Linked DNA regions of Macaca fascicularis. The main gene of each other region encodes a partner of the protein of the gene in region 3 in a complex. Links are inferred from orthologs where the notes say so. Each region holds a gene or a part of one and is shown on either strand. Other genes may lie near its edges. The genes, in order: UCN, GNA11 and CRHR2.

Region 1 (2,991 bases), on a different chromosome or scaffold from region 3:
AGGCAGGCTGAGTAGAGGAGAAACCCACGTGGCGGAGGACGGAGTGAGCGGGGCTCGAGCTGCCTGGCGCCTTCGCAGCACCAGCCCACCGAGCCTTCTTTCCCGGGTACAGGCCTGCGCCAACCCGACCCTGCTCGAGCGCCCGCGCTAGGGTCGGGGAGGATCTGCGCAGAGACCGCGGCATCGCCCAAATCGGCGCCCGCCCCAGGAGGATCTCAATAAAGAACTCGAGCGTCCCCGACCCGTATCTCCTTTCGCTGCCCAATGCCGCAGCCTCGGCTTCGGAGGCGACCCGCCCACCATCCTGCCCTTCCCAGAACCTGAGACTATCCGGGGGGCGGAAGCCAAATGAACCCCTATTGGGCACCTCTGTGATGCCAGGAGCGAAATGGTGAGCCCAGCGCCCTGGGAAAAGGGTCGAGGGCGGGGCGGTGGTGCTGGGACCTCTGAGGTCCTAGGGATTTGGGGACCCCTGGAGTTCAAAGGCACCTGGCTGACCTGGCTGAAAGCCGCTCTCCTGGAGCCCCCCACAGCATTTTGTTCCCCTCCCGCTGGCCCGGGGGCCCCACCTTCCCACGGGCTCCCACGCTGCTGTGACTGCCCTGCCCCCACGACAGAAGCCAACGGGTCTTCAGTACTTTTATTAAAAAATAGTCAAGCAGAGAGTGCCCTGGTGGCTCTGCCCCGCATCCCAACCCTGGGGTGGGGGAAAGGGGTCAAAGTTTTCGCGGCCACAAACCGGGCCGTCACTTGCCCACCGAGTCGAATATGATGCGGTTCTGCTCGGCGCGCTCCCGCTGGCTCTGCGTCCGCGCCAGCTCCAGCAGGGTCCGCAGCAGGTGAAAGGTGAGGTCAATGGACAGAGGAGGGTTGTCCCGCCGCGGCCGCTCGCCTGCCGTCCCGGGTTCCCATCGGCTGGACCCTGCGCGGCGCGAGAAGCGCTCTGCCAGCAGCAAGAGGAGCGCGCGGGCCCCGCCGCCCTGGTTCCGTGCCCCGGGGCTCCAGCGCAGACTCGGGTCCTGGACCCCGGCCGCCTCGGGGCTCCTCTGGCTGTTCCCAGGGCACAGCTGTAGCAGGAGCAGCAGCGCGGCCAGCAGCGCCGCGCGCCCCGCCTGCCTCATGGTGCCGCCGGCCCTGGACACACAGGGGCAGCGCAGGGTGAGGTGCGCCTGGGGCAGCTGCAGGAGGCCGCTCCCCTCCCTGCGCTCGCCCGGCGACCCTTCCGGTAGCCGCCCAATGCCCGCAGCCTGCCCTCCAGCCCCGGCTACTGCGCCAGTGCTGTTCCATCCCTTCCACCCAGCTTCCCTCCCGAAGGAGCGCGGTGGCTGAGCTGAGTGGAGTCCTGGTGCTGGGGGAGGCTGGGTGGACGCTCTGAGCCACTCACAGGTTGTCGGCGAATGTTTGTACGGTCCAAGATTGAGCTCCAGTCTCTGTCCCTCGGGGCGGGCCGAAGGCGCCTTGGGGAACACAGGGTCTGTCCCGGGACTGCCGCCAGCCTTATATAGCGACAGGACAGCTCCGACTGACGTCAGCGAAGAACATGCACTGATTGTAGAAGCAATGACAGCCACAGCTTCGAGTCTGGCGGCTGGCGGGCCCCGGAAGGGCACACCTCCCGACATGAGCCTTCGTCTCCCTGGGGCTAGCGCTGGAAGCAGCACTGGACGCAGGAGAGCGAGAAGCTGGCTGGGGCGAAAGGACTGCTCTGGGACCCACGGGAGTCCCTCGCCCTGCTTAGAACCGCCAGCAGTGACTAGGGCCGTCACCAGACCAGACTAGTCCGGGTCGCGTGTTCTGACACACGAAAGGGAGGCGGGACCGTGGGGGCTGTCCATGGTGCTGACCTCGTCCTGCGCCTCTAGAAGTGGCTAGAGATGATGTGAGAACGCTGTACTGCTGCAAACCACTGCCTCGTGGCAGCTATCAGTTCTGCAAATGCAGGTATCAGGAGTCCACCGCTGGCACTCAGCCAACACAGTGGGTCCCATTGAGAGGCAGTCTTCCACAACCAAAGTCTCCCAGCATTCTCATCTTTTTCCAGCCCCAGGATCCAAATTCTAGGGCTGTCTCACACAGGCACCATGTAACAGAGGGTCTCTGGCCTCCAAGTGCGTTCAGACCACAAATATGGCCCATCTGCTTTTGAGTTTGTCCAAAGTGGTAGTTTAGCAAAGTTCCGTTTCTCTCCTGGGAATCATAGCAGCAGTATTACTCTGCCCATGAGTAGTAAAGAAATATGGGTTCAAGTTTCTGCTAACTCCTGGTGTGGGCAGGTCACCTCCCTTCTACCAACCTCAGGGTTCTCAGTTGTAGAAGACTGGGCTTGGCCAGGCGTGGTGGCTCACGCCTGTAATCCCAACACTTTGGGAGGCCGAGGCAGGTAGATCACGAGGTCAGTAGATCGAGATCAGCCTGGCCAATATGGCAAAACCCCATCTCTACTAAAAATACAAAAATTAGCTGGGCATGGCGGTGCGCACCTATAGTCCCAGCTCCTCAGAAGAATCACCTGAACCCAGGAGGCGGAAGCTGCAGTAAGCCGAGATAGCGCCATTGCACTCCAGCCTGGGAGACAGAGCGAGACTCCATCTCAAAAAAAAAAAAAAAAAAAAAGATTGGGCTTGGTGGTCTCTTGGCTTCTTTCCAGCTCTAGAAATGACTCCCCATTACCACTGCAGATTCCGGATGACACATTTAATAACATATTTACTGAGGCATCATATAAAGGGTTCCGGGGGTCTCTGAAGAGCTGGAGCTACAAGGCTAGGCAGGGTTAGAGTAACAAATGTGTCTATGAAGAGTGGGGATGAGTGGCATTTGCTGGGATATGTGTGTAAAGTTGATAAGGTCATGAAAGTTCAACAGATATTTATGGAGTGCCTAGTATGTGGTGGGAATAAGACTATTATCAAGGGCTCTAAAGCAGTCAGTGCACATTTTAGAGTGAAGGGAGCATTGCAGGGTGCTAGTCCTCTTAAGTTCTGACTGGCA
Region 2 (4,098 bases), on a different chromosome or scaffold from region 3:
GGGAGAGGCAGACCCAGCTTGACTGGGCCTCCTGCGGAGCACTAGGACCTCCGCCCAGAGGTCTCTGAACATTCCATGGGCTGCAGGCACCACAGCCACCTGCTGCAGCCCAACAGCCCCCTCCTCCTGGGGAGCCTCGGCCCCACCCTCCCGCTGCTCCCTGAAAAACAGGGGCAATCGCAAGTTCGGGGCTGGCCTCCTGGGAGAGTGGAATGAGTTCCCACAAGCAGGCAGGGAGCCTGACAGAGGTCCCCTCTCCTGTACCCTGGAGCCCCAGCCCCTGGACCTCAGGTGGTCAAAGTCCTCCCAGCAAGGGGCCCTCCAGCTGGGACGCAAGGTTGCTTGGAGGGGAAGTTTTCTGAGGGCCTGTCGCATCAGATTCCCAGAGGGGTCCCTGGCCCCAGCACCTAGAGTGTGAAGCCCTTCCAATCCCCTGGCAGCCCCTGGCCCTCTACGTGGCACTGACACCCGTCCTCCTTGGGTCGTACATAAGCTCACATCTTCGTCACTGCCCTATCTGCCCCGCCTGGCCCTGAGCCTGACAGCAGCCTCCCATCTTACCAGCTGATAGGGGTCAACTTCCAGCTCACAGAGTGGGAGGGGCGGGGCTGCAGACACAGGTGCTCCTGCAGCAGACACCCCGGGCCACAGTTGGGCACTGCACAGAGGATGCAGGAAGGGCCGAATCACTTCCAGATTTGCTCCAAGCAGCCAAGGCTGCAGACACGGGAGCCCCTGACCTTCGTCCTTGAACCCCGTGTCAATCTCAAGTCCAAAGTGCAGGCACAGAAGCCTGGGTGCACGCGGAAAAGGTGGCAGGGATTCGGGAGGTCACAGAGCCACAGAGCAAGGCCATCTGGTAAGATCTTTATGACACCAGTAATTCCTAACTCCCCTCCATCCAAACAAAGTCCATGACCCACTACAAAAGCCAGTCAGTGCCACTCTGTGCAAGGGGCCACTACGCGGGCTCTGCCTACCCGTGTCCCCTGGAAAGACGGCCCACTTCAGACCCCTTAGGTAAATCAAAACACAAGTTTGGGGGAAAAAATCAGGAGGGCATTTCATCCAAGGCACCTCTCTAACCGGGGACATGGAGGCCGCAACAGGGTCACAGCAGGAGAGAGGCAACCGTGTTCCCCACACAGCACCCAACCTGCCTCCTCCCCAGGAGCTACCGCCACCAGCACACCCCCTCCTCCGTCCCTGCTGCCTCTGCACCCATTTCTGACCTTCCCCACCGCCCCTGGCCCCCGCCCCCAGGCCAGGAGCTAACCTAGGAGCTCGGGAGGGCAGGGGCGGGGCAGGGCAAGAGCTTTCTGTTTTGTAAACGACTGCAGGGACCCTTATTTGGGGTGACAACACTTTACAGCTGGCCCGACTGGCTCCCTGCAGCAGGCGTGCCTTGGGGAGACGAGGTTCAGCAGCAAACCTTCTCCAGGACGGTGGGGAGGAGCCGGGAGGTGGGGGCCTGCTCCCAACGGGGACTCAGTGTGGCTCCCACCAAGACTCTAAGGAAGGCGGCGGGGGAGGCTGCCGAGACAGCTGCTTCGGACAACAAGCAAAGGCTCCCTCAGGTGTCAATCGCCCCACCCTCAGCTGAGCAGAACCCTGTCTTTTTCCCACAGGGCGCTTTCCAGCCAAGAGGACTATGGGGTTTCCCGGAACAGGAAGGCAGGAGAATGGCCCTGAAGGGAATGGGGGGTTAGGGGGCACGGAGGAGTCTTTGGGGGGTGTATGGGGCCTGCATGGAGGGTACAGGGCTCTACCTGGAGGGAAGGGTCAACGCGGGGCCCTGAGAAGTGAGGGGTGAGTATGCCCTGTGGGTTACAGCCCAAAGGTCTGGCCCTGAAGGGGTAGCGAGGGGTGGGTACTCAGGTGGGGTAAGGTCAGAGGGTCCCTGAGCAGGGAGGGGCTGGTCCCTTGAGAAGTGACACAAGGCAAATCTTGGAGTCCTGGAGGCCCAATGTGGCGGCAGAAACTGGGAGCTGACCTAGGAGGGATCCCGGGCCTGATCTAGACAGCACAGACAGGGGCTGACGCCCGAGGGTCCCTGGTGGCAACGTGAACAGCACAGACAGGGGCTGACCCCGGGATCCCAGGTGCCAATATGAACAGTTAAGGCAGAGGCTGACCCCAAAGGAATCTGGGGCCCGGAGCTGACCTCGGAGGGTCCCAGGTGCCGACCTAGACAGCAAAGGCAGGGCTGAACCGGGAGGGCCCCGCCCCGACCCGGACAGGCCGGGCAGGCACAGGCAGGGTTGACCCTCGAGGGTCCCGCGATCCGGACAGGCAGGGAAGGCACAGGCAAGGCTGACCCCGGAGGGTCCCGCAACCCGGACGGCAAAGGCAGGGCTGACCCCACAGGGTCCCAGCCCGACCCGGACAGGCAGGGCGGACACAGGCAGGGCAGGGCCCGCAGCCGGCAGGCCCGGGGGCCGCACTCACCGAGCAGCAGCAGCTTGAGCTCGCGCCGGGCGTCGCGCTTGTCCCGCCGCAGCTGCTTCTCGATCTCGGCGTTGATCCGCTTGGACTCCTTCACCTCATCGCTCAGGCAACACGCCATCATGGACTCCAGAGTCATCGTCCCGGCCCCGGCCGCCGCGGCCGACTCCCCGCCGCCGCCCCCCGGTCCCCGGCCCGGCCCTGGCCGGAGCCGCCTCGGCCGCCGCCCGCCGCGGCCCTCCGGCCTCGGCCCCCGGCCCTCGGCCCCGGGCCGGCCCGCCCCGCCTCGGCCGCCGCCTGGCGAGCCGCCGGGTCCCTGCTCGGGCCGCGCCAGCCGCGGACTCCCGCGCGGCCGCACTTAGCCCGCGCCGCCGCCGCAGCCACCGCCAACCGCAGCCGCCGCAACCGAGCGACAGCGCCGGACAACCTAGCAGGCTGGGAGCGCAGCCCGCGACAGGCAGACGGTGTGGCCAATGGGAGGGGCCGGCGGCCACGCGCGCCCACCGTGGGGGCGGGACTAGCGGCCTGGGCGGGGCGTCGGCGGGCGCGAAAGGGGCGGGGCGGGGCGAGGGCGGGGGGCCCGCGGGTTTGGTTGCGCCGACGTGGGAAGGGGGACGCGCAGCCGGGAGCCGGGGCGGGGCCGCCCGGGATTGTGGGAATGTGGCGGACTCGGCCGGCCAGGCTCGGCTCCGCTCGGCTTCGTTCGGCCCCGCTCGGCCCCGCTCGGCTCGGCCAGATCGGCCCAGTCCGGGTCGGGGAGGCGCCCACGCGGCCGCTGCGCTCTCTGGGTCTCCAGATGCCCGGGAAGCTCCCTGACATTGCTTGACAGGAACCTTCACTCATCCATTATAAAGCGTTAACGGAGGCCGGTCGCGGTGGCTTCACGCCTGTAATCCCAGCACTTTGGGAGGCCGAGGTGGGCGGATCACGAGGTCAGGAGATCGAGACCATCCTGGCTAACATGGTGAAAACCCGTCTCTACTAAAAATACAAAAAACTAGCTGGGCGAGGTGGCGGGCGCCTGTAGTCCCAGCTACTCGGGAGGCTGAGGCAGGAGAATGGCGTGAACCCGGGAGGCAGAGCTTGCAGTGAGCTGAGATCCGGCCACTGTACTCTAGCCTGGGCGGCAGAGCAAGACTCCGTCTCAAAAAAAAAAAAGCCTCACGCCTGTAATCCCAGCACTTTGGGAGGCCGAGGCGGGCGGATCACAAGGTCAGGAGATCGAGACCACGGTGAAACCCCGTCTCTACTAAAAATTACAAAAAATTAGCCGGGCGCGGTTGTGGGCGCCTGTAGTCCCAGCTACTCGGGAGGCTGAGATGAGAGGATCACTTGAGCCCAGGAGGCAGATGTTTCAGTGAGCAGAGATGGAGCTACTGCACTCCAGCCTGGGAAATGAGAGTAAGACCCTGTATAAAAATAAAATGAAACAAAACAAAAAACCAGCGTGGCCAATATGGTGAAACCCTGTCTCTACTAAAAATACAAAAATGACCCAGGCGTGGTGGTGGGTACCTGTAGTCCCAGCTACTTTTGCTGAGGCAGGAGAATTGCTTGGACCCGGGAGGCAGAGGTTGCGGAGAGCTGGGATCGCACCACTGCGTTCCAGCCTGGGCAATAGAGTGAGACTCCGTCTCAAAAAAAAAAAAAAAA
Region 3 (4,095 bases):
GGACCTGGGCAAGAGGTCATAGAGGCACCATCGTGAGACGCTATGGGGGTGTCTCGCTGTCCAAAGCTCCAAGGAGCTGAACTCAGTCAGCAGGGGCTGAGAAGCTCCTGGGATCTTCACAGAGTGAGAGGCAAGTGGCATTGCTGAGCCTCTTTAAACCTGTTTCCTGTCTGTGAATAAGTGGCCCCACCTTCCCAGTGTTTGAGTAAGGCGCCTAACACCACGTAAAAGCTGCCAGATTACTGCCTGCCTCCAGAGCAGCTTCCCAAAGTCCTCCTTGGAGAATAGGGAGCACTGGGGTCAAGGCTGGGTGGGTTCCTCCAGGCCTTCAGTGTGTCCTGGGCCAGGGCATCCTCTTCACTCAAAAACAGCAGCTGGAACCCCTACAATTGCAGATCAGACCAGTCCTCTCCCCTGCTCAGAGAGCGCCCCATGTCCTCAGATCCCACAGATGTCTTTTCAGGGTATGTCCTCAGATCCATACAGCTCTGCAGTCTCGCACAGATGTCTTTTCTGGGTTGGGGCCCTGGGGCCTTCCCCCCTACCTTCTCCCCCATCCCTTCCCTTGAACTACCCATCTCCATCCCTGCTGTGCTGCCCACCTCCTACCAGGCTCCCCCAATCCTGTCAAGGGCCCTCACACCTACACATACTTCTTCTGAGCCCATTTACTGGAACTTGTAAATACAGACTCCTTTCTTTCCTGCCACACCCCCTTCTGGGCGATAAACTCCACAAGAACAGGAACCAGATTAGCGTTCAGACCCTGGATCCTCCCCATGGACAGTCCTCCTTAAACACTGGATGAATAACTGAGAAGCCTCCGAGGCCAGGCTGGACTCTCCTGGGCTGCCTTCTCTCTCTACTTCCTGCTCCAGGTCTCATCGTCTCAGGACCCAGGAAGAAGTCCCATTGCCATGAAGGCCCAGCGAGAGGAAGGCTGGGCTTTGGCGTCAGAAAGGCTGGGGTTTAAGTGCTCTCCAGCTGCTTACGTGCTGAGTGGCTGTGGGCAAGTAACTGGTCTCTATCCCAGTCTGGGATCCCCGGGAGAGCTGGGGACAGGGCCTGGGATGACCCCAAGGGAAGCTGAGCCCACAGTGTTGCCCTGAGAATCCTAGGGCACCTCTGGAGCCGCCAGCAGAAGCTTCCTCCGTCTAACTAGCTTGGGTGGCTGGCGGCATGGCCCCCAGAGGGACGGGCTGGGGGCCACCGTTGCCCCAATACTTGGATCTCCTGGAAGGCACTTATCTGGAGAACAAGTGGGAGAGGGCAAGAGAACTCAAAGCCCAGGATGTCTTTGGGGGCAGAGGGGTGGATGGTGAACCCCCTGCACAACTTTCACCCATCCCAATTGCAGTCTGCAATGTCACTCAAAGGACTCAGCCGGTCTGGGGGCCATCTCCCTATGGGACACTGACCACAGCTCAGCATGGTACCTGCCTCCCACCTCTCTCCTCCACCTGGCCAGGCCCCTAGGAAGGCAGGGACCCTCTGTGGTGCTGTATCTGTGGTGCCTGGCACAAAAGCGTAGCTGGCATTCACTGCGTGCTCACACCACACCAAGCATGATGCTGCGTGCTTTACTTGTATTACCTCAGTGTTCCCCACAACAAGCCTGTTCAGTAAGCACCGTTGTCATCCTCATTTGACTGATGAGGAAACTGAGGATTTGAGTAACCTGTCCGAGGTCACACATTAAGCAGCAAAGCAGGGATTTGGATTGGTTTTGTTGGCAAATATCTGTTGAATTACTGTTGAATGAATTATCCTCCTTATACATATAGGGACACTAAGCCCCAGAAAATGGTCCCCAAGGCTGGTCTGTGGGGGGAGTCTTGGACAGGGACAGGCCTCTTAGCTTCCACTCTGGCACCACTCCCCAGATTGTGAGGCCTAGGACAGGTCCCCCTCCCACTCTGAGCCTCAGTTTCCCCATCTGTAAAATGGTGGACCACTCCCACCAGCCTCTCCCCTACTTCTTCAGCTCTCTTTTGATGGCTGCTCTGTGTCCCTTCACCCCACCTTCCATCGGTGGCCCCTAACTCTGGACAAAGGCACGGGGTGTGGCTGGACAAAGCTCAGAGTCTCGAGAAACCTTTGGAGAGGCTGGTTCTCCCAGAGCCCATTCTGTCCCCATCGCTCATCTGGTACTGGGGGCCGCCTGATTTCAGGCACTGAAAGGAAGGGTGGAGACAAGGCAACAGGGGCAGGAGGTGGCTCTGCGGGTCCCCGCGGGTAAGGGTCAGAACTAGGAATGGGCTGGGGAAAGAAGTCAAGGATCCTGCAGGAGAGATGGAGGGGGGATCATGGGGGTGGGGAGAGAATGGACAGGAGACAGGGAACCTTGGGCCCTGAGGTAGGCAAGTTCTGGACACTAGGGTGTCACCCCAGAACCCTCTGCTTATCCACAGGGGACTCCCAGTCTCATCCTGGCCGGCCTCACAGTTTCATCTTCCCTTCCCCTGCCCCCTCACCCAGGCACGGAATCTCCAATTCATCATCAAGACTCAGGGATCCCCGATCCAGCCCAGTCACCATGCCCTGAGACCCCCGCCCCTAGTCATGAGAGCTGGGAGTTCTGCGCTCCTGGTGCCCCACCTCGTGGACTCCCACTCCCTGCACTTACTTGGAGCAGCGGTAGAAGGAGGCAGAGCAGGCAGAGGAGGTGTGGGATGTAGAGGAGGCCTAGGGGCCCTGAGGGACCCCTCATGCCAGTAGTGGATGGGGGTTAGGGCCCCGAGAGTGCTGCCCAGCACAGTGGCCACACCCCGGCCAGCCCCACCCAACCTGGCCCTGGAGGGGAGGCCTGAGGTAAGGCCCTGGGCACGAGGGGGTATTCTCCACCCACCTCTTCCACAGGGCAGCAGTGGCCCCGCCCCACAGCCCACAGCCTCCAGGTTATTTATAGCTGGTGCAGGACAGCTGCTGCTACCCAGCCAGCCAAGGGGCTATGCTCTCCCTCCAGCCTGCAGAGAAGGGGTTAATGCCTTCTATCTGCTTCCAGCATTGCCGGGGCTGTAGCTCCCCAGGTGGGAGAGAGGAATTGAGAAAAGGAGGAGGGGGCCTAGGCTGTGGTCCCTGCTTGAGCACAGGATTGGGCTGCCCTGGGTCTCAGCTGAGCCAGCACTGCCTAACACCTATCCGGGGAGTTTTAACAGGTGCTAATGCCTACTGGGATGACTGAGATGGGAGGGTGGATGCTGGGTAAATAGTAGTACTGTATCAATGCTACATCTGCCGATTCTGATACTGTACTGTGGGTAGGTGAGAGAATGTTTTCATTCTTGGAAAATACACATTTAGGATTAAAGAGGCACCATGTTTCTAACGTACTTTCAAATCATTCAGAAATACACTCACATAGATAGATCTATAGATAGAACAAGAGAGCAGATGAAGCAAAATGTAAATTGTTGGTAAATCTGGAAAAGGGGTATATGGATATGCTTTGGATCATTCTTTCAACTTTTCTGTACGTTTGAAATTCTATCAAAATGAAACGCTTAAAAAAAAAAAAAAAAACCCAACTGACAGCAAACACAGCCATGGCAGGGCTCACCCAGAGATTCCAATGACGTAGCTTGGGATGGGGCCCGGGTGTCTGTATGTTTCAGGAAATGGCTAGGGATCCTGATGTCAGGTGGATCTTGCGGAGCAGTGCTGTTCTTGTGGGGACAGGTTCAACCTGGGGCTGGGTCATGGCTCATGAGGTGAGGTCTGTTCTTCTGGAGCCTCGGAAGCCTCCTTGGGAGCTGTTCCTGACAGATGGGCCTGGTGCAGGGGGTTTAAAAGCTTAAGCCGCAGTTGCACCTTGCTTGTTGTTAGGATCTGAGGGGAAAGCATGTGAGGAATGTGATTAGTGGGGCACCAAGCTTTCTCCTAGAGATGCAGGCAGGGCCAAGACCTTGGAAAACTCAGTCCCAATTTAAGTAACTCAGACACTCTGTGCTCCTTCTGGTCTCCCTATCTGAGACATGGGACACTTTTCTGTCCTTGAGTGCCTCCTCCCTACCCTCAGCCCCTTCCTCCAGGCAGCCTTCCTGGTTGCTCCAGCTCCCACCTCCCTCTCCTGTGAAATCTCGCAGATATGAGTCT

What was found.
Region 1: the proteins of CRHR2 (region 3) and UCN are in contact, whole or in part, in a cryo-EM structure (PDB 7TS0), measured with the Homo sapiens proteins. The link is inferred for Macaca fascicularis from reciprocal best matches to the Homo sapiens genes CRHR2 and UCN. Residues at the interface, in NP_001874.2 of Homo sapiens: Phe68, Asn69, Gly70, Val71, Tyr73, Ile101, Leu102, Asp103, Asp104, Arg107, Asp110, Tyr113, Leu117, Asn120, Trp166, Leu169, Gln170, Val172, Asp173, His174, His177, Glu178, Thr188, Phe191, Asn192, Phe199, Phe256, Gly257, Lys258, Asp265; in NP_003344.1 of Homo sapiens: Asn84, Pro85, Ser86, Leu87, Ser88, Ile89, Asp90, Leu91, Thr92, Phe93, His94, Leu95, Leu96, Arg97, Thr98, Leu99, Leu100, Leu102, Arg104, Thr105, Ser107, Gln108, Arg111, Ala112, Asn115, Phe119.
Region 2: the proteins of CRHR2 (region 3) and GNA11 are in contact, whole or in part, in a cryo-EM structure (PDB 7TRY), measured with the Homo sapiens proteins. The link is inferred for Macaca fascicularis from reciprocal best matches to the Homo sapiens genes CRHR2 and GNA11. Residues at the interface, in NP_001874.2 of Homo sapiens: Arg148, Tyr208, Leu209, Ala212, Ile213, Thr216, Glu220, Lys293, Lys307, Ala311, Phe358, Tyr359, Phe362, Asn363; in NP_002058.2 of Homo sapiens: Arg37, Ile348, Leu349, Asn352, Leu353, Glu355, Tyr356, Asn357, Leu358.

Annotation. Positions count from the first base shown.
Region 1 is NC_088387.1:94,910,444-94,913,434, reverse strand, and holds UCN (urocortin), read right to left. Parts: upstream 1,477-2,991; 5' UTR 1,385-1,476; exon of another isoform or gene 1,135-1,384; 5' UTR 1,122-1,134; coding exon 747-1,121; 3' UTR 627-746; downstream 1-626. UniProt on the Homo sapiens protein: Acts in vitro to stimulate the secretion of adrenocorticotropic hormone (ACTH). Binds with high affinity to CRF receptor types 1, 2-alpha, and 2-beta. Plays a role in the establishment of normal hearing thresholds.
Region 2 is NC_088393.1:3,791,793-3,795,890, reverse strand, and holds the start of GNA11 (guanine nucleotide-binding protein subunit alpha-11), read right to left. Parts: upstream 2,875-4,098; 5' UTR 2,585-2,874; coding exon 2,449-2,584; intron 1-2,448. UniProt on the Homo sapiens protein: Guanine nucleotide-binding proteins (G proteins) function as transducers downstream of G protein-coupled receptors (GPCRs) in numerous signaling cascades.
Region 3 is NC_088377.1:99,597,507-99,601,601, reverse strand, and holds the start of CRHR2 (corticotropin-releasing factor receptor 2), read right to left. Parts: upstream 2,828-4,095; 5' UTR 2,711-2,827; coding exon 2,627-2,710; intron 1-2,626. UniProt on the Homo sapiens protein: G-protein coupled receptor for CRH (corticotropin-releasing factor), UCN (urocortin), UCN2 and UCN3. Has high affinity for UCN.